Linked DNA regions of Cricetulus griseus. The protein of the gene in region 2 purifies or fractionates together with the protein of the main gene of each other region. This does not show direct contact. Links are inferred from orthologs where the notes say so. Each region holds a gene or a part of one and is shown on either strand. Other genes may lie near its edges. The genes, in order: Trib1 and Stk40.

What was found.
Region 1: the proteins of Stk40 (region 2) and Trib1 purify together in Homo sapiens (affinity purification with mass spectrometry; 3 studies listed by BioGRID and IntAct, counting the BioPlex papers as one, with this or other methods). This does not show direct contact. The link is inferred for Cricetulus griseus from reciprocal best matches to the Homo sapiens genes STK40 and TRIB1.

What each region holds. Positions count from the first base shown.
Region 1 is NC_048603.1:27,983,435-27,994,469, reverse strand, and holds Trib1 (tribbles homolog 1), read left to right. Parts: upstream 1-3,309; 5' UTR 3,310-3,340; coding exon 3,341-3,709; intron 3,710-5,532; coding exon 5,533-5,825; intron 5,826-8,192; coding exon 8,193-8,658; 3' UTR 8,659-10,508; downstream 10,509-11,035. UniProt on the Homo sapiens protein: Adapter protein involved in protein degradation by interacting with COP1 ubiquitin ligase. The COP1-binding motif is masked by autoinhibitory interactions with the protein kinase domain.
Region 2 is NC_048595.1:26,938,836-26,949,925, forward strand, and holds the start of Stk40 (serine/threonine-protein kinase 40), read right to left. Parts: upstream 5,681-11,090; 5' UTR 5,296-5,680; intron 5,112-5,295; exon of another isoform or gene 4,919-5,111; intron 1-4,918. UniProt on the Homo sapiens protein: May be a negative regulator of NF-kappa-B and p53-mediated gene transcription.

The DNA.
Region 1 (11,035 bases), on a different chromosome or scaffold from region 2:
CTCACTGCAATCTAAGAAGAATTCCATGGCCTCCAGCTGGGGGCTTGGAAACTGGAAATGCAGAGGCCCTGGCAAGAGGACCCGGCCATCATCCTTCCACCAGAGATAGTCACTGGATGTGAGGATGGCCAGTGTGAAGATTGTCAAGGCGGTTCCCGAAAGAGCTTCTGCTATGCCCTTGCGGCAACCAGGGAGGAGAGTCCAGTCTCAAAGAGAAGGGTAGATGTGGGAAGCTCCTGGTAACTCTCCTCTGCCTCCCACCTGCTCCTGGTCTTCCAGAGGCTCCCACCAAAGTGTAGCAAGGTGTGCAAAGCGCTAAGAGAGCTCGAGAAAGTGAGTTTGTGAAGATCATCTCAGTGTTTAGCTGAGGTGTCCTGAAACAATGGTGGTCTTTGGTGATGTAAACGGGTTACGATGAACTGGCTCTGTAGAACTCAGAGATCCACCTGACTCTGCCTCCTGAGTGCTTGGATTAAAGGCCTGCACCACCACCTCCAGGTTTAGAGAAACTTTTTGTTTGTTTGTTTTTCGAGACAGGGTTTCTCTGTGTAGCTTTGGAGCCTATCCTGGCACTCGCTCTGGAGACCAGGCTGGCCTCGAACTCACAGAGATCCACCTGCCTCTGCCTCCCGAGTGCTGGGATGAAAGGCGGGCGCCACCAACGCCCGGCTGAGAAATTTCTTAAACATACTAGCTCCCAACAACCTGTGAAGATCAGCTCCCTGCCTTCCTGGGAGCTGCCCTGTCCTTCTTGGCTAGCCCTCCTGGCCAGCCACTGTTCATAGCTCTCCTCTTAACAGCTCTCCTAACCCAGGTCCAGGGTGTTGCAGATGGAGGTCCCCCTAATGGTTCCTTTCTATGCAAATTGTAGTCTCACAAATGTAGTCTCTTCGGAGACTCCTTGCGTGCTGTTAGCACTTAGCCTTGGAAGGAGACTCGGGAGACAGCCTTTCAAGGAGACACAGCAAGTTCTAGGCTTCCGTTTCTTTCTTGGGGCAAAAAGTAACCCTGTGAAGTGAGCACAGAACCAAAGTGTAGCAAGGTGTGCAAAGCGCTAAGAACAAGGAGCCTGTTCCCCCCACCCCATCCCAGCATTACCGGTTCAATTTAAGTTGTCTAATCCCCAGCGTCTAGCCCTTGGAGATGCTTAATTAGCGTTTGTTGAATGGCTGGAGAATTAATAATGAAAAGGATTTATTCTTGGGCTTGACCTGGTTTTAGAAAATTAATTATTCAGCATAAGCACAAGGATTTTGATAATAGGTATCTGTGCTGAGTGAGGATCCAGGGACTCCAAACTGACCTGGTTTGCGAAAGGGGGGGTGGGGGTGGGAGGGGACAGAAACCCTAACAACACAAAATGTGACTGCAAAGCAGCTTCCAGAGCAGGGTAAGCCAGTTCCAAGGGCACCCAACTCAGGCTGCACGAACGCGCACACGCGACCTTGTCCGGGTGCAGGTAGTGTAGTGTCTACCCCTGGCGGTGGATCCAATGACCGGTACTCCAATACCCTGGACCGCTCTGGCGCCCTAGACCCTACCTAGGGCGTGGACGGAGGCGGGAGGAGACAGGAATCTGGCGGCTGCCACGTGGGCCCCTTCCGCCAGTTCCCCACATCCTTTGTTTCCCACCGGCCGGAGCTCAGGAAGCTCTTTCTGCGAGTCACCGCGAAGGGGCGGCCCAGGAGCCTGGAGAAGAAGCTATTTCCGTGCAAATCGGGGCGGGCGAGCGGGCGAGCGGGAGGGGCGTGGAGGTGGAGGCAGAGCAGAAGGCCCAGTGTTTGCTTTTATTTCATCCAACAGAAGGTTCTATTTGTGGAAGCGAACAGACGCTGGGGATTAGAGCCGGGAGGAGGCAGGAAAAGGAAGGGGGAGAGAGAGAGAAAAAAAAAAAAGCCACACTCACTACCACGCACAGGTCTTTCCCCGGAACTACCGCGTGGGGGGGTGGGGTGGGGTGGTGGTGAATGACTGCAAATGGAATGCATCACCTTCCCTCTCGCCCCTTCCTCCGGGCTGCAGCCGCGACTCGGCGGCGCCCGCAGCTCCACCGGGAGCTCCCGGAGTGCAAGAGCCACGGGGGACGTCCCCACCGGGGCTGCAGCCAGCGGCTCCCGCCGAGCCCGGACGGAGGGGAGCCGCGCGCCGGCCGGGAGCTCGCACTCCATTGTGTTGTGTGAATGGTGCGCGCGCGCCAATCAGCGGCCGCCTCGCCCCCGCCCAGCCCCGCCCACTTCCCCGGGACCCTGACGTCACGGGAGCTTCTCCTCCGCCCCCCTCCTTCGGCTCCGGGCCGCCGAGCCCGCGGGGCCAGCGCTCGGGTGCGCGCAGCCTGCCGCCCAGCCTAGCCCCGGGGGGCGCGTGCAAGCGTGCAAGCGTGCAAGCGTGCATGCCTGCGCGCGCGCCCAAGACGGCCCCGGACGGACGGACGGACGTTCCCACCTGCGCCCAGGCGCGCGCAGTCGGGAGCATCCCCGGGCCTCCGGCCACCCCCGCTGTCCCCCGCTTCCCACTCCATCACCCCTCCTTCCCCCCCTCCCCTCCCCAGTCTCCTCCCTCCGCTCCGGTGACTGTGAGCCGGGGCGACGGGGCTGGAGTCGTCGCAGCCACCTCATTGCACAACCCGGCTTCCCAACTGTTTACACAGCCCGGCCTGTGAGTGTGTGTGTGAGTGTGTGTGTGAGTGTGAGTGTGTGTGTGTGTATACAGCGTGAGTCACCGGGAGGCGGAGGAGGTGGAGGAAAAGGAGAAGGAGCGCACAGGCCGGCATCAGTGCGGCGCACACACTCACATCCAGCCACTCTCTCTCTGAGCGCGGCTCGCACGCTCCACCGCCCGCCCGCCCGCTCGCACTCCCGGAGCGCGCAGGATCCCGAGCGGCGCGGCAAAGTTGTGCCGGCTTCTACTCCCCACTTAATTGCTTTTGGAAGTGAGTGCCTTGGCTCCGGGAAGCCACCGAGCCTGCGGAATCCGATCCTCCAGACTCCAGCGCCCCGGAACCCGGGGAAGCCGGGGAAGCCGGGCCGCCTCCCCGTCCCGGGACTCAGCCCCCAGCGTCGGCAACAATAGCGGCCCCGATCGCCGCCGCCGCCGCCCGCGAGGCGCCCAGACCTGGTGGCCGCGGGAGTCTGGGGACCCCGGGTGGCCTCCCTCCCCAGCCCGGACGCGTGGCCAGCGTGGTCCTCGTGTGGAAGACGCCGGCGTCCGGGAACGGCTGTCGTCGCGCACCTCTCGGGGACCGATCGGAGCTCCGTCTGCCAACGGCATCCCGAGGGCTGGAAGGAATCGCAGCGCCGAGCCCGGGATTTCCAAAGCCGGGGCCGCTCCGGCCAGGGCCGCGATGCGGGTCGGTCCCGTGCGCTTTGCACTCGGCGGCGCCTCGCAGCCCCGCTCGGCTCCGGCTCTGCTCTTCCCGGCCGCCCGGGCTACCCCGGCCAAACGGCTGCTGGACGCGGACGACGCGGCGGCCGTGGCGGCCAAGTGTCCGCGCCTCTCCGAGTGCTCGAGCCCCCCCGACTACCTCAGTCCCCCGGGCTCGCCCTGCAGCCCGCAGCCTCCGCCCTCCGCTCAGGGGACCGGCGGCGGCGGCAGCTGTGCGAGCGCACCCGGGCCCAGCCGCATCGCCGACTACCTGCTGCTGCCCCTAGCCGAGCGCGAGCATGTGTCCCGGGCGCTGTGCATCCACACCGGCCGCGAGCTGCGCTGCAAGGTAAGCATCCCGGGGGCCAGGGCTGCGGGCCTGGCACGAGGGCTTGGCTACCCCGGATCGCGCCCCGGCCGGAGCTTTGGGGTTGGCAGAGCCGCTAAGGAAGGGCTTTGAAAAGTCGGATCAAGAGGGCGTTTTGGTCAGCTTCGCCCCTGAGGGCTTTCCTGTGGAGTGTTCTGCTGAGGGACCCGCGGTCTAGGGCAAGTGGAGGGGTTCATCTCGGTGCTTTTTTTCTTTGGCGCTCAAGTGTGGCTAGCGCGTGGCGTCCCATTTAAGTTTGGAATTGCAATGGATTCCAGGGCCATGCCATTGCCCTGCTCTCATCCCCCCCTCCTCCCCCTGCCCTGGACGGACGCCCTGCAGTGGGTGCCTCCTCCCGGCTTGGAGCAGCTGGCAGGCTCTCAGCCGGACGTTCGCGGCACAGGCTCTGCAGACACGGTGTCCGGCTTCTACCCAGGGGGTTCTGGCTGGAACCAGAATACAGCCCACCCCAGGGAGTCGCGGGCCTGCGGGGGTTTAAGCCTGGGAGGGGCTCCAGGCCTGATTGAGAAGAGTGTTGAGGAGCTCCCAGGGGCTCTCGCTTCCACTCGCTGTAGTTTGCGTCCGCCAGTTTTTATTGCAACCTTAGGGGGAGTACAACTCCATAGGGGATGGCCCGGCTCTCCTGGAGAGCGCGGAGCCGTGGACGGTCTGTGCTTGGTGAGCGCGACGCTCACACCCTGGTCCACCGAGAGCCCCCACCGACTGCTTTCATTCCCCTGGAGTTAAGAGTGGCTCCTGGGTTTTCAGCAGCTCACCTGAACTCCCCTCTCCCCGCTTGCTGGTGCCACCTACTGTCTACTCGCGTGAAATCTCAGATGCGTGGTCAAGCCCAGAGGGGGGGAAAAAACCTTTTTTTCTTGGTGGATGAGAGCAGTTTTGGAAGAGAAACTTGTGTGGAGGGGTGGGTGGGGCGGGAGGAGAGAGCAGCAGAGGGATTCCCCCCCCCAGTTGGTACCAGAGCAGCCACCTCAGAGGTGGGGTGGGTCTGGGTCATTGTGCAACCCCTTCCAGTTCCTCCGAGCAGATAATAGCTGAATCCAGATGGTGACAGCCCGTGTGTCACCATTTCCAGTTGCGTCTAGGATATGAGTAACCGGAGTGAACAAAAGGCCCTTAAAGAGACCAGCCAGCAGCTTCTTAGAGGATTTGCCCTCCGTTCTGGGGGTGGGGCAACTAAGGTGGGGGGAGGCGTGTAAACAGATGAAAACGGCTTTTCTGAGGTGCCCATCCCCTCCTGTCGGAAGGTACACCCCAGGCTGCCTCCACCTGAGTCACAGCCATAGGAAGGTTGCTTAAGGCAGCCTTGTCAGTCTCTCCCTCCAAGTCATCAGTCCCTCTGACTAATGACATCTCTACATGTTTGCTGCCTCTGCTTCCCCTTGGAGGCAGCGAAATCGCCACATTCCTTGGCTGTGCTGAGCTGAGCCTTCTGTGTTTCATTGTTGCTTTTCACCCTTGCAGGGATGCTGGGGTCCCTTCCCTTAGCTACCTTGTAGCAAGCCTTATCTATTAGGAAGATCCAATCCACGTCAGGCTCGGCTCCCAGGAGCTGATACCAGGCCCCTAAAAGACAAAAGTATGTGTGGACCAGGGTAGGCTTTGGAAGTTGCTAGCCGGGATCCCAAGGTGTGACTTGCTTTAAGGGCATCATAGCAGCTGGAGCTGCATAAACGGCAGAGAGAATGGACTATCCAAAGGTTGAGGACCTCAGCCCAGCTTCATGTAGGACCTGGCGGGCAGCCCCTGAACTTCTGGCCCCTAAACAGGTCACTTTATCTCCGCAGGTGTTTCCCATTAAACACTACCAGGACAAAATCAGGCCTTACATCCAGCTGCCGTCGCACAGAAACATTACCGGCATCGTGGAAGTAATCCTTGGGGAGACCAAGGCCTACGTCTTCTTCGAGAAGGACTTTGGGGACATGCACTCCTATGTGCGAAGCCGGAAAAGGCTTCGGGAAGAGGAGGCCGCTCGGCTCTTCAAGCAGATAGTCTCCGCCGTTGCCCACTGCCACCAGTCGGCCATCGTGCTGGGGGACCTGAAGCTTAGGAAGTTTGTCTTCTCCACGGAGGAGAGGTGAGCAGCTGCCACAGCACCTCCTGTGGCCCTTTGGAACCAAAAAAACTGAAGGTACAGGTCATGCAGTTAGGTGCAAGCCAAACCCAAGGCTCAGGTCTTGCCTGGTTTAGTATTAAGTCATGCTTCTGGAAGTTTGTGGTCAACCTTGGTTCATTCTTTGCCCTGTTGGATGGCGAAGCCTAGAGACACCTTGGCGCTTTTGAGGATGCTGCCTAATGACAGATACACTTCTATTTCTGTCCCAGGCTCAGGCTTTCTTGTCAGGGAGGTCAGTCCAACGGGGAAAAGGTGTTCACCTGTCCTGGAAAGCACAGACTCCAAGAGGTGGTCAAATCCTGGCTTCCATCAGTGCCTGGGCTGTGCCTAGAAGACATGACAGAGCTGGTTAGGCTGTTGTGTTTGCAGAATTCCAGCCAGCCCTACCACACTGCATTCCTGCACTGTTTTAACCTTGGTACCCTCACCCCACACCCCGAAATGGTTTGCTCACATTTTCTGGTGAGATTTTAGCCATCTCATCGGCTCCATCTTCAGAAAATACCCACATTGAAGAATAAATGGAAGTTGGCTAGCACGCACCGCTAAATATAGTTCTTGGCTTACCTCATAAAGGACAAGGTGTGCTTGATAAGGGACTGAGGAGACACTAAGATTTGAAGTGGAGGTTTCACCAGGAGAACTCAGGAAGCTGTGTGAGATGCCCCACACTTCATCCTGAACACAGACCATATCTGTGGTGGGGAGAGGTAGAGTGTGGAACTGGCCTTGTTCGAGTGAGTGACTTTGTTGAATATAGTTACACAGGAGTACCCTACCTGGTCACTTTTACCTTTAACTGGGCGGGGGTGGGGGGGTGGGGGGTGTGCGAGGGTCTAGAAAGTACAGGGTTGAAGCCCTCAAAGTATGAGTTCGCGTCTGACCTTGCGCTAGCTATTGAAACATACTGATTAGCAAAGAGGAGCAAACTGTTTGCTGCGAAGAGGCGTCCAGTTCCTGGAATGTGCTTCTTTGATAATATGCTGATGCCTCTTTTTGAAACATGTGCTACACACCTCCTCGCTGGTTTTTGAAATCTGCATTGCACAGGCCGGTGTCATGGGCATAGGGTTTGGTAACCCGAGGGTTAAGCAACGGCAGGCTGACGCTATTCATGTAACCAGCACAGGTGCAGGGTTTTAGTCCTACAGGAGCCAATCAGGGGCAGACAGTGTGGGTTGAGTCATATTTTCCGTTTACAGAACCGATGGGTATTTTACATAACAGGGAGGTCACGCTGAGGACACACCGAAGTCAGTACATGTGTGCTTCACTCCAGGGAGCAGGAAGGCTGGAAAAGAGAAAAAAAATAGAGAGAGAGAGAGAGAGAGAAAGAAACCAGACCTTTGAGAGGAAAAGGAATTGACCAAATGTTTGCACGTAACTACACAAGAAGTGACTTACTGAAATAGGTCTGTTTCGGAGAAGCAGGCACCGGAAATTAGAGGTGCCCCACGTGGCCGTGGGGGTTCTAGGAGATGTGGGTGGCTGCTTCTACCTAGGGAGGGAGGCACCTGCAGCTTCGTAAGCGTTCCTTTGGCCAAAGGTCTTCTAGATTATTCTTTCCAGTTCAGTCTTGGTTTCTGTGCTTTCCTTCGCATTCTCCACTGACTTCTTCAACAGAGGTTCTCCACAAGACAGAGGCTCGTGTAGGATCTGCCTCAGTCCCTGTGTAGGGTCCCTGCAACCCTCAGATCCATCAGCCTCTTGTTTCTTCGCCTAATTTCTCTAGGTTTCAGCTAAGTGTTCTTACAGTGAGACAGCCCAATAATCACAATTGAACAACTTTCCCATTGTGGTTATTGCAGCTGGGACTCGGGTGAACGGAATTTCCTTAGTGTGGTCAGTGGTGTCAACTGGCCTGGGCAGTGTCCTGCTAAGAGACTAGTGTAGTGGCCTGTAGGAGATACAGGCCCTACCTGAGGAAGGAGGACACCTATGTTTGCTTCTCCCCTGACAGCTTTTGTAGAACATGCCAGTCTTGCTCTGAAACCAGCTCTCCATTCTGCAATGTGAACTTTGTCAATTGTGTAACCCTATTAGGATATCTCTTACAAGCCCTAGCTTCGTGAATGTTGTTTGAGACTTTGCATCATACCCCTCCGCCCCGGGCCTCTCAATACTTTGCAAATATTTATTGCAGTTTGTATTGGTTTGTGAAATCGCTGGTCTTGGGTGCTTGCAGGCCAGCGCTTACTAGACGAAGGGTAAATGGTATTCCTGCAGCCTTGGCTGTGAGTGCCTCTGGGCGCTGTTATTGGGAAGGCCTTGGTTTTCCGTTGCAGACGGTCTGAAAATAATCACTCCGTTTATTTCTCTCTCCCACAGAACCCAGCTTAGGCTGGAAAGCCTGGAAGATACACACATCATCAAGGGAGAAGATGACGCCCTCTCAGACAAGCATGGCTGCCCGGCCTATGTGAGCCCTGAGATCCTCAACACTACTGGGACCTACTCAGGGAAGGCTGCGGATGTCTGGAGCCTCGGGGTGATGCTCTATACGCTTTTGGTTGGACGATACCCCTTTCATGACTCAGACCCGAGTGCCCTTTTCTCCAAAATCCGCCGTGGACAGTTCTGCATCCCTGAGCACGTTTCTCCCAAAGCCAGGTGCCTCATCCGCAGCCTCCTGAGACGAGAACCTTCGGAGAGACTCACAGCTCCCGAGATCTTGCTCCACCCCTGGTTTGAGTATGTCTTGGAACCAGGGTACATTGACTCAGAAATGGGAACTTTGGACCAGATTGTTCCCGAATACCAAGAGGAAAATGACATTAGTTCCTTCTTGTGCTGATCCCAAAAACAACCTCAGAAACCTCGTAATTCTCACACATGGTATTTCCATTTCTGATGATGGGCAGGCCCTCTTACACGGTGCCAGCCAGATTTGGGGACAGAGCACTATTGTCCCTATGGGGCTCAGTGTGGTGCCACCTCTCTAGGCTGAGTGACTTGATTTGAGCAGCACACACTCAGATTAGCTCCTCGCCAGGGGTGTCCCCTTCTCGATGAACCGTCATGACTGTCCCAGCGTCTATCCGATACAAGGGCGCCACGTGTTTGGAAGTGGAAGCCTGTGGCCATCCCACATGGTCAGGTGTAATGAACTTGAACATTGGAATGGGAAAGGAAGCACATCGCACAGAGGCATTTTATTTAGCAAGGTGGCAAATCGGTTGAGGTGACAAACCTGCCGTCTTTGAAGGCTCCACTTGGCTGCTGCGGTTTCTCCGACCAGAAGTTTTTCTTTTTTTTAACTCTCACCCTTGCTGTGCGCTCACCTGTGACGGCTACAGTGTTGGGTGTTGGGACAGATTGAGAAGCTCCCGAGCCTGCCTGAACCCAGACTGTCCCCCAGAACTTGCCAAGACCTCCTATGCAATAGCGCCACGCCCCTCCCCCCTCCCTGGAACCTGTCCTCTGCAGCTATGAAAGCACCCGCCGGCTAATCATGGAAAAATACTGGGAGATGCAAACTCCTGGTTCAGAACCTTTGAGCTCGGTCAGACAGCGATTTTTTTTTTTTTCTTAAATTAATTTGATCACTTGGTATCTGTTAGCTCTTGAGGCGCTCATCAAATAATAGCATTTAGCCTTTACCCCTCGCCCCAGGACCATCTCCGGGTGGAACCTTTTGTGTGCGAGGACAGGGTGCTCTCTCAGGAGCATATGTGAACCGTCTTTGGGCTTCAAAGAAAGTCTTGGAAATGTCTGACATCCAGAATGAAACTGGACCCCGCCCTCCCGTGGGGTGCTGTGCCTCTGGTATCCAGGGTCTTCAGCTCCCCCTCAAGGGCTCTTTGGACCTCACCTGTTGTGTGGCTTGTGAATCCATCTTCGATGCTGGCTCTGGAGGGACAGAGTGAACCTCAGAGATGGAGCTGGAAAGGACTTTTAACATCCATCCAATGCAAATTCTACCTTCTAGCTGCAGGGAAATCCCCTGCTCCAGCTTCCACAGGTGGGAACCAGGCCTCGGCCTGAATGCCTCCGGGGATGGAAACGCGGACTTACTCCCTGACAGAAACGAAGCTTCTCGGAGAAGCTGCCAGAAGTTGCATTAAAAAAAAAAAAAAAAAAAAAAGTAAATAAAAATAACAGATGAAATAGCAGTCACTGTCTGGGACAGTGCTGAAACTAGGTGGTTTAAACGGGTAACAGAAATGCTGTGTTTTGTGAACTGGCACAGCAGCAGGCAGACATCTTCAAGGGCTATGCCTTGGCAAACTACTAACGTTGTGAGAATGCCTTGTATACCTCACGTACTGTGTACTTTATATTTGTACATACATTTTACCTTTTATACATAATGTCCGGTTGTTGTCGTTTGGCTCTGAAGCTTGTTTTGTCGTCTGTGTCTGTCTGAGGAACCTGTGTGTCCAGGGCCATGTGAAATGTGAATGATTGTTGGCCATACGACCTTGGCAGATGGTGGGACTCGGGGAGGAGCAGGGACAGGCCTCTGTTGGGGTTGTCCAGCTCTTGCATCTGTGATACGTTCCCTGGCTGAGGACTCGGGCTGGCCTGGGCATTTGCCCGGACAGCTGGAAACACTAGGTCTCCTGTGCGCGTGTGGAAAGGTGGTAGTGGCACACTGTTGGTGACTTAGAGAGAACTTTTAATAAATCTGGTTTCGTAAAGAAATGTGGTGAGTCTCCTTTGTGTGCACGCTGCCTTCCTGTAGCTGTCGCAGGCCACAATGAGATGCCCTTTGACTTTAGGTGTTTAGTGTCTCACAGAAGACGGCAGAGAGTCAGACAACTATGGTTTGGTTGCTTTTTTGACAGGGTGTTTTGTTTTGTTTGGTGGGGTTTTTTTGGTTTTTCAAGACAGGGTTTCTCTGTGGCTTTGGAGGCTGTCCTGGAACTAGCTCTTGTAGACCAGGCTTGTCTCGAACTCACAGAGATCCACCTGCCTTTGCCTCCCGAATGCTGGGATTAAAGCCATGCGCCACCACCGCCTTGCCTTTTGGCAGGGTCTTATATACTTCTGGTTGACTTGAGATTTGCTATGTAGACCAGACTGGCCTTGAACTCAGAGATTTTCTTGCCTCTGAGATGTGTGTTAGGATGCCTGCCTGGAACCTGCTTTTTATGTGTCACTGAGCATGTACACTTTGAATGAGTAGGACGTATTTGCAAATTGTCATGTTTGGAAGCTGAGACAGGCAA
Region 2 (11,090 bases):
TCAGGAGGCTGAGAAAGGAGGGTGGCGAGTTCAAGGCCAGCTTGGGCTATGTTGTAGGTCTGAGGACAACTTGGGCTATTATAGAAGGACCTTGTCAAAGAAGAAGCAAAAGCAGCTCTTTGAGGCAATAGCCCTTCTAGGCATTTGTCCCACACACAGATATTTAGGGTGTGCTAAATCACATGTATGAAGAAAATCAGGGGTTGGAGAAATGGCCTACTGGTTGAGAGCATTTTACTGCCCTTGCAGAGGACCTGGGTTCAGTTCACAGCACCCCCATCAGGTAGCTCATAACTACCTGTAACTCCAGGTCCAAGAGTTCTGACGACGCGCTCTGACCTCCATAGACACGCGCATTCAGTGAACATAAACTCATGTGACCACACACACATACAAACAAAAAATAATTTGAAAAGGGAAAAGAAAGTCAGTCCAGCTAAAAGCCTGCTCAACATTTACACTCAATACGGTGCATGATGTATCCTAGAAGGACAGAATGCACCCTATCAATGGAACCATCTCTAAAATAGCAAAAAAAAACACAACACTAGCTTCTCCCCCTGGGTTCTTGATTCCAGGGCTTGGGAAGATGTGTAGGGGAGTCTGGGGGCCACCTTGAAGCTACAAACTTACTTGAGAAGGTGGTGGAGAAAAAAAGATACTCTTGCTTCAGGCTGCTTTCCTATATCCAATCCACCCCACTTTTTAGACAGGGTCTAGCTAGTGTAGTGTATCACAGGCTGGCTACAAACTTGCTATGTAGCAGATGATCAGCAACTTGTAAGCCTCCTGCTTCTAGCTCCCCAGTGCTGAATTACTGGCATGCACCAGTACACCCAGTTTTTATGCACTGCTAGGGACTGAACGAGGGGTTCCATGTATGCCAAGCAAACACTCTACCAACATAGCTGCCAACACTCTACCAACATCCTCAAACTTTCAAGTTTTTTTATTTTTAAAAGATTTATACACTATGTTTTGATCACATTCTTTTTCCTCTTCCAAACCTTCCTACACAGTATTTTTTTTTTTTTTTTTGAGACTGTTGTACTATGGCTGGACTTGAACTCATAGCAATCCAACTTCTCAGCTGCCCTGGTCCAAGCCCCCACTAGCCTGCCTGTGATTACTGCAGCACTCACTCTCCCTGGCCCATCTTTCTTCTGAAGCCAGAGGGCTCTTTGGAAGATGAACTTTAATGTGTCTCCAGCACTCAGGCACCAACAGAATAACAAAGTTGGAGCATCTTCACTGGGTACCTACCTACTTACCTCTCCAGAACGTCCTGCAGCCAAGTCCTGTTACAGTCTATGATAGAACCCCTGTGGTACCTAAACTGTCACACACATACACACACACACCTATGTCACACTGCTTCCACTGCCTAAAGTGCTTCACAGGACCCCAGGAAACTATCCACTTCTCAAAGTTCTAAGGGCTCTCCAAACCTCTCCTCAATGTCCTCGTCCCCAGGCAAGTCATACCTTCTGTTCCCTTGATTTGTACTTCATACTGCACAGACTTCTGGGAATGATTCCCCAGGGCCTGTCTGTGCAAGTGCCAATGGATCAGGGTGCCTGTCTTCTCTGGACACACCCTCCTTCAAAGCAGAGTCTGTCCTTCCCCTCTTCCTGTACCCAGCTCGTGACAGTCACATGGGGAAATTCACAGGTGCACAACAGAGACGCTCTACTTTGAGCCACCATATACCTAAGCATATGCATACATTATACCTGATGCACCACACATATATCAAATGTGATGTTTCCTGAAGATGCTAACTCAGGTTCCAGACTAGGCTCATTAGTGGGGACTCCAGAGAACTTAACATACATTTTCTCCAGTTCATACTTTAAAATACTATTTATCACTGGGTGGTGGTGGTGGTGGTGGTGGTGGTGGTGGTGGTGCACACCTTTAATCTCAGCACCCAGGAGTCAGAAACAGGAGGATCTCTGAGTTCTAGGCGAGCCTGATCTAAAGAGTGAGTTCCAAAGACAGCCAAGTCTACACAGAGAAATCCAGTCTTGAAAAACAAACAAAATGCTATTTATCTGCCAAACTTGGAGGCACAAGTATGTAATTCCAGCACTATCGAGGCAGAGGCAGGAGGATCAACACAAATTTGAAGCCAGCCTGGGCTACACAGAGAGACCCTGTCTCAAAAGGCCAAAACAAAACAGTTTTATTTCTCAGCAGTTCTACTTTTCTGGGGGTTGGGATAGGGTTAAGACAGAGTCTCAGTCTCTCTCTCTTAGTTTTTCGAGACAGGGTTTCTGTGTGTAGCCCTGGCTGTCCTGGAACTCACTCTGAGGATCATGATGGCCTCGAACTGACAGAGATCCACCTGCCTCTGCCCCCTGAGCTCAAAGGTGTGTGCTACCAATGCCAGGCAAGCCAAGGTATCTTTATGTAGCCTTCACTGTCTTAAAAGTCACTAGGTAAACCATGATGGCCTCAAACTCCCAGAGATCCACCTGCTCTGCCTCCCAGTGCTACCTAGCTCTGCCTCTACTTTTTAAAAAGGTTTTCATAAAAGAGCTGAATGAATGTACATTGCGCCTATACAGACTGGTCAAGTCCCTACTATCTTTTCAGAAAGAATACAATAAAATTCAGTGTTCTCATAACCCCTCATGACAGTCCTGACAGCTCCAGTTCCTGTGAACAGCCTTCAAGTAGTTCCCAGACCTTTCCTGCAGCTGGCAATGGAAACTATCATTTGCTAAGCATTTACCACCCAGTGCATGCTGAGCACTAACCAACCCTGCAACATCTATCTTAATCCTCCCAACTGCCCTTCTGGGGAGGTAGTCCCACTGTTTCTTTTTACAATGAGAAATCTAGGCATAGAGACATGATGTAGCCCCTACTGGCTAGCAGGGCTGGGATTAGAACCAGATATGCTTGAGCCAAACAAGCTCTTAACCTCTACAACCTTATCCATTAAAGGCACAAGAGTGAAAATAAAACACCCCTTACAACCCGCCTTCTGGGAGGGAAGACCTACCTTGCCAGCTGCTTAGGGAACCTGAAATCTCAGAAAGAGAAGGGCGCATGTGCCAGGCACTGCAAAGGGTTAGCCACGTAGCACAGGTTGCAAATGGTGCCTTCTCAACACAGATCCATTACGCCTTTGCCAGCTCTCCTCTTGGAGAAGCAAGGTGGTCTCTAATGAGGTCTCTAGCTCTTTCACCCTCCAGCTCTTCACCTCTCTTGCACAGAGAAAGCTATCTAAAACATGGATCTAGTCATGTTACCCCTCAGATAAAAGCTTTTTACTAGCCTTTGAGATGTCCATTTCCTCATCAACTTATTGTGCTTTGCTTTGTACTATGTCAGCTTCCATACCACTATACTGAGCAAGCTGAGGTTTCTGAAATAAACTCAAATTTTCTGACTCTCTGCAATTCTCTCCATACAGCATCTTCCACTTTATTCTCACCTGGCTAAGCGCCCCCTGCCCCCACGCATGCGTGTGCTCCATCATTCTAGACTGGACTCCTGTCACCACTGTCCACTCTTCCTAGGGTACCCCTCCACTTCGTGCCTCCATGTCCCAGACTGAGCTGGCAGCTTCCCTTACTGGGTCCCCTCAGCATTCAGTTCCTGTTGCTTTTGTAGATCACATTTCAACTATCTACTTGCAGGTCAGTTTCCTCTAACTAGACAGAGAACTAGTTCAGATAAGAATCTCTTTATTATGTGTTGTTAACTTCGTAACTCTCCATAATAATGCTTTATCATTACAGATGTTTTCCAAATGAGGACACTGATACAAAGGGTCCAAGATCACACAACCAGAAAGCTGCCGCACCAGAATTTGAACTTAGGGAGTATGGATCCAAAGCCTACCAATACTGCACAGCACTCGCCTTTGCAGGCAAGACCCTTTTGTTATGTGAAGAATGAATGAATGAATGAATGAATGAATGAATGAGGACTATCTCTGGCAGTCCTAAGTCTAATCTACAAACAACTGGCATAACAAAGCTATTAAGGAGGGCAGGAGGAACTCCCAGCACTGTTTACAAATGGGAACTCTCTGGGCCCTACAGATTTTGCTCTTCCTTATCTCATGCAAAACTACTCAGCCAAGAGGGAAAGGTGCCCAGCCCAGCATGACTACCCTCTTCCTCAATGATTCTCAAAACCAGCAAAGCCAACTGGTTTCCTTCAGTGCCTTAAAACGGAGCAAAGTCTATCCTGCCACTGAAGGCGGCTGTCATCTCTTCCTTCCGCCAACAACCTGGGGGGTGGGGGTGGACAGAAAAGCCACCGGGAATCGGAAAGCTCCCAACCAAGGTTGAAAGGTGGGGCCAAGCAGCGTAGGAATGGGCGGGCCTGACCAGGACCTGCAGGTGAAACATTGACCACAGCAAGCTCTCCCACGGTGAAGACCGGCCCAACGTGGATCTGGCAAGCAGGTAGCTGTGACTCGCACCTGAACGCCGCCCAGGATGTGAAAATTCCCCAGCAGCGATGGTGTCGGTGCCAACGGGTGAGGGCTCCAGGAGGAAAGCCTTGGCTGGCTCTCCCTGGGGACTGACTCGTCCTAACTTTCAAGTCACTCTCTAGGTCAGGAGAGAAGCACGGCGAGGAGGGGGTCTCTGTAGGGGGAAGCTCGGCGCGGGGCTAACGCCCGCTGCTCCAGTGACAGTTTGAGTGGGTCTGGGCAAGGCGGGCAGTGCCCACTCCCCAGGGCTGCGGCGAAGACCCAGGCTCCCGGCGGCCGCCGCCCCCGCCCGCCGCCGCCAAGGACAGACCCCCGACGGCGGAGGGAGCATTCGCTAGTGCCGTTTCTGACGCGCTGGACAGTTTCGAGCTGTCACCGGGGTCCCTCCGCCACGGTCACCGAGGCCCGCCCCGCCAGCACTCAGCCCCCACCCGGCTCGGCGTCCCGGGACACCGGACTCACCTTTCCCGGGGGTTCAGCGCTGCTCGCCCATAGTCCGCAGCCCGGAGCCGGGGCTGCTCGGCTCTCCGTCCCGGTGGCCGGGGCCCGGCCGGGGGCGTGGGAGCCACTCACCGCCGCCTCCCAGCGCAGCCACCCGAGCCGCAGCCGCTGCCACCGCCTCCTTCCATGGCTGCGGCGCCGCCACCTGACAACGGAAGTGACGCATCGCCCCGCGGCCCCTCCCCCCGCCCCCTCGCCGGAGTCTGGGTTTGGGCCGCCATCTTGAGGATGGGCGGAAGCCTTCAGGCAGGAGGCCCAGATAAGATCGCCGATTGGTTCTAGGTGGAATCTGGGTCGAAATCTGTAAAACGATTGGACAACCAGGAGGCGGTACTTACCGCAAATCTACACCCACGGGGACTGAACGGAGGCGCCTCCCAGCCTTGGCTCTGCAGAACCTTGCCGACCCTACTCTCACTTTGCTGCGGTTGGGGACGTCTCTAGTAGCCGCAAGAATCGCCAACTGTACTGCATTCATTAGAAAAGAGGCATTTCCTTGGTCCCCATTTCTCGGCCTCTGGAGATCTGTGCGGTAAAGCGCTTAGGTTGGGTTCAAGAGAAGACAGGACTGCTGTCGCTACGTCAGCAATTCATTTCACTTTAGGCTCTTTAGAAACCACGAGGATAGCCAAGTCCACCCTGGACATCCCTAGAGTCTTGTTCAGGGAGATTACAGTGAAGAGTTCCAATGATTGATCTCAGCCGGCTATCTACCTCACTCCCTCCTGCCACAGTTTCCGTCCCTTTCTCCTCCTCCAGCAACCACGCCCTCCATGAATCAGCTTCTTGCACCAGCAGATGAGCCCTTTAAAGGGATTGCATCAGTCTGGTGACTCACTGGGGGCCCTCGGAAAGCCTAGCTTCCCTCCACTGCCATATAGAAGCAGCCAGAAGGGCTCGGTGGCAGCAATACCAGCGGCCATAGTCCCACTCCTTTGTCTCGAAGTTAACAGGGGTGCTGGATGACTCTATTTTTTCCTCCCCCACCCCCCTCTCCGGGTCATTCTGTATCCACGAGTAGACAACCGTGGCCCCGCCTATGCTCTGCTAGGGGGTAAGCGTGCATTTGTCATCTCCTCAACAAGGTATTGCCGGGACATGAAGGCTGGTCTTAATGAAGTCTAGCTGTCCCAGGCAATATTCCTTTCTTAGTCCCTTTGAATGCTTGGTGACTACTGAGCTGTAGATAAGGCTGAATGACAATAGCAATCACAGCAGCTCCCAAGGTCGTTTCTTATGCAAAGTGAAGCACTTTAGAGACCTGCTTACAGTTCCCGGAGCTAGTGCCCAGAGAGGGGCGTAACCTTTACAATGACACTCAGCCAATAATGGTTGGGCTGTGGTTTGAAGAAAGTTTGGTGGACTCCAAAAGGGTAGCGTTTGAATCCTTGTTGTATCGCTTACATGCTAGGCAACTAAATGCAAATCCTGGCTGTGCAAATGGAGATAACACACCACACCATTTCTGTGAAGGCCCAATGAGATTCAGATCCGGCTCACCACACCCTATAAATGCCCACTGATCTCAGTCCGGGAGCCTCTGTGAGGCGCATGACCCAAAGGCAGGCGTCCCGGAGCGAGGCCCACTTTGCTCCTCTCTCTGACAAAGGGGGAAGACTAAGGAAGGGTTCCGGAAGCCCTGACTCTGACAGGAATGAGTTTTGGGTTTTCCAGATCTCTAATTATCAGTAAGATGAATCACTGGGTGCTGACACCATCGCCCCACTCCCTGTAGACTCTCAGCTGACTCAAAATATAGGATTTTTAACAAAGCAGAGGGGAAGTCGGTAAGAAATAGAAACTAAATATGACATCCAGAGGAGATTTAAAAAACAAAACAAACAACAACAAAAAAAACTGTCATCAGGACACCAACTCATGGATCTCGGGGACATACATGCGTGGTGACAGTCTCCTGCTGGCTCTCCAACTCCAGCTCACTGACAGATGGTGCTGCCATAACACAGTGACACCTGTCATAACAGCTCAAAATGGCTTCTTGACAAGGTATAGGCAGATTGGACTATCACAGGAGGGGAGAAGACCTCATCCCCAGGAGCTTCTTCAAGCTTCAGAACCCCAGCTCTTCTTAGTGTCTGGTTTTTAACGTCTCTGTGTCCAAGTTCCAAGGCCTGAGTATGGCAAGGTTTGGTGTTTGTTTTTGCTTTTTTGGTGCTTGGGACTTAACCTATGGCCTCTTCTATGGTAGTCAGATACTTTACCACTGGGCTGTATCTCCACTGCTTTTGTTTCTGAGGGAGTCTCAATAATTTGCTGGAGCTGGCTCTCTATTCAGCCCATACTAGCTGGCCTTGAATTTGTAATCTGTCTCAATTTACGTAGCAGTTTGGATTATAGGGCTGTACCCACCAGATCCAGTATTCTATCAAGTTTCAAATGTCTAACTCACAGGGTAGATGAGCAATAGACTGTCAAGAGCATTGGATGGCTGGAGATGTAGCCTGAATGGCACAATGCTGGCCTTGGCATGTATGAAGCTCCAAGTTCCATCTCTAGTATTGCAGTAACCCTGGCATGTAATCCCAGTTTTTTGGGAGGTGAAAGCATCCTGCCCAGTGCAGCACTCATTTAACTTGACCTCAGGCTGGGGAAGAGTCCCCTCCCTCTTTAGGCCTGTTTCTTCCTGGGTCCATGGTTCTTAGCCTTTCCACCTTTAAAGACTTTTAAGAACTGGCCTTTTGGAGTGGTGGTGGCATACACCTTTAATCCCAGCCCTCGGGAGGCAGAGGCAGGTGGATCTCAGTGAATTCGAGGCCAGCCTGGTCTATAGAGTTCCAGAACAGCCTTCAAAAACTAGAGAAACTCTGTTTCGAAAACAAAAACAAAACAAAACAAAAAAACAAAACTGGCCTTACTGGGCTGGAGAGATGGCTCAGTGGTTAAGAGCACTGACTGTTCTTCCAGAGGTCCTGAGTTCAACTCCCAGCAACCAGTGACTCACAACCACCTTGAATGAGATCTAGTGCCCTCTGCTGGCATGCAGACACAAGACTGTATACATAATAAATTAAAAAAAAAAAAAAAAAAAAAGGCTTCTTTGCTGGGGCTGGAGAGATGGCTCAGGGGTTAAGAGCACTGACTGTTCTTCCAGAGGTTCTGAGTTCAATTCCCAGCAACCACATGGTGGCTCACAACCATCTGTAATGTGATCTGGTGCCCTCTTCTGGCACTCACTGTATATCATGATAAATAAATGAATAAATCTTAAAAAAAAAATACAAAAAAAAAAAAAACCCACCAAAACCGGCCTTACCTCTAAAGGTCATTTTATTCTTTTCCTTGAAAACACCTACCCCCACCCAACTTGGGAGACAGAGTCTTATGATGTATTCTTGGCCTAGAACTCATTGTGTAGGCAGACCAGGCTGGCCTTGAACTCAAAATTCACCTGCCTCTGAGCACTAAGATCAAAGGTGTGTGCCACCATGCCCAGCTGCTTACTTACAGCCTTACCTCACAGTCATTAAGCTCAGGGTCAGAACCAGCTACCCAGCATGCCCACCTCGATGGTCTACCAGCTACCCAGCATGCCCACCTTGCTGGTCTACCCCCTTGCAGAATCCAAACTGCTTTTGTCATTCTTCACACACTGCACTGTACCTCTGGATCCTTCTGGAACAACAATGAGAACTTCAAGGGTCCTTGTTGCCCTTGTTGGCCCTTCAGCCAGGCTTGCCTGACTAGAACTCACTGGGCTGGTTTAAGTCCCATCTGCTCAGCCATGCTGAGACATGGAACTATCAATGTCCCCTGTGTAGCTCGTGTGAGCCGACTTGGAAGCCATATGCCTGTCTAGCTTTCCGAGCTTCAGTGGACCCCTCCCTACAAACAGTACCTCTTCCCCCACCAAATTCTCTCCAAGAATGAAAGGTGGGTATGAACAATGCTGTTTGAGCATTCAGAGTTCTTGGGGGTACTACCATCAATGGGACCCCCAACTTTGCTTGCAGGAAAGGTGAATGTGAAAGTTTGAGCAAATGCTATGGCAATCTAGACCCCAATGACGTCTTGAAACACATTGCCATCTTTTCCTCGGTGTTCCTGGGTCCCTCTTGTTCACAGCTAAGTCACTCCCATTTGTTACCTCGGGGAATAGAAGACACGACAGAAAGTAGGCACTATTTTTAGTTTCTGAATTCCAAAAGCTCAGCCTTCAAGTAGGAATGGAAGAAAATTCTATGTAGAAACAAATTTAGAAAACCAGAGAAAAGGAGCCTGAGATTGGTGTTGTGTGTGTGTGTGTGTGTGTGTGTGTGTGTGTGTGTGTGTGTGTATGTATGGGGGGAGTGAGGAGAGAGAGAGGAGGGATAGAGAGATAGGGGGGGAGACAGAGAGAAAGACAGAGAGAGACAGAGGAGAGAGGAGCGGAGGAGAGAGAGGAGAGAGAGGAGAGAGAGAGAGGGAGACAGAAAGACAGAGACAGAGGAGAGAGGAGGAGAGGAGAGAGAGATAGCAGAGGAGAGGAGAGAGGAGAGAGAGAGAGGGAAGAGGAGAGAGGAGAGAGGAGAGAGGAGAGAGAAGAGAGAGAGGAGAGAGGAGAGAGAGAGAGAGAGAGAGAGAGAGGAGGGAGTGAGGAGGGAGTGAGAGAGACAAAACACAGCTGGAACTCAGGAGCTGCCAGGAGACAGGAGCGAGCTCATTTCCCTCTGTGAGGCAACAAGACCCTCCAGAGACATGTAGCTCTGGAGCTGTGGGCTGCATCTGACCTAACTGATCTAAGATCCAAGAACTTCTCAGGCCTAACAGTACTGAGGAAAGCAAAAAAGAACCTGACACCTAAGTTGGTTAAGTGGTGTACTGCAATACCATCACTTGGGAGGTAGAAGCAGGAAGACCATGAGTTCAAGGCCAGGTTTGGATGCTTGAGGCTGTATCTCAAAAAATGAACAAACAAAAATCTAACACTGCTGGGTGTGGTGGAGCTTGTCTTTGATTCCAGCAAATCACAAGTAGGGGCAGAATGGGTCAATTCCAGGCTAGCCAGGGCCACATAGAGAAACTGTCTTTAAAAGAAAGGAGCCAGGCAGATCTCTGAGTTCAAGGTCAGCCTGGTCTGTAGATGGAATTCCAGGAGAGCCAGGACTACACAATCCATCTCCAAAACAAAGCATAACAAAGGGGGAAAAATTCGGTGGAGTGATGGCTCAACAGTTAACAGCACTGGTTGTTCTCAAACAGGACCCAGATTAGTTCCCAGTGCCTGCATGATGGATCACAGCTATCTACATTCCAGTTCCAGGGTAGCCAATGCCTTCTTCTGACCTCTAGGGACACCAGATATGTACTCGGTGTCTGTACATACATGTAGGCAGAACACTCATATACACATGGGGGAAAAAATTAAGGAGCATGAGGTGGTGCTTGTCTTGAATTCCCCAGACTCAGGAGGCAGAGGTAGGTGGAGTTCTAAGTCTGAGGTCAGCTTGGTCTACATATCAATCTCCATGACAGTCAGGGCTACAGAGTGAGACCTTGCCTCAAAAAAGAAAAAGAAAAAACCCTAACATTTGAGTCAGGAGTGACTGATGAAGGGGTCTTTTGGTCAGGGAGCAGCAATCTTTGAAGGTTGATATCTCAGTGGATGGGATGCTAATTAGATGGCCCCAAATGAAGGGAAGACCACAGGATCCAAATAAAGAAAATAAGGGGATTGATAATACAATTAAATTTCTTAAGTGGGCAAAACAGAAGGTAGAGTGAGTTAAAGAAAATAAATTCTTTTTTTTTGGAAACAAGGCCTGGAGTGTATCCAGCTTGGAAGACTTTGTGCTTAGCATAGGCCCTGGGTTTAATCTCCAGCAAGGCCTCCTCTCAATAGAAACTGTAATCAGACCTCCTTTCGCACAGCCTTAGGTATTTACCATCTCTCACTGCCCTACCCATCACCTACCCTCCTCATCGTAGGCACACACAGCTGCTATTCACCCAAGCTTTCCTACCCAAGATCTTTGCAATGGCAGTTTTCACTCCCTTTCTGTCTCTTTGTTTTAGTTCCTCAGACCATTTTCTTTCTTCTTAAACTTTTTTTTTTTTTTTTTTTTTTTTTTTTTTTTTTTGAGATTGGGTTTCTCTGTGTAGCCTTCGATCTCCCGGAGCTCACTCTATGTAGATC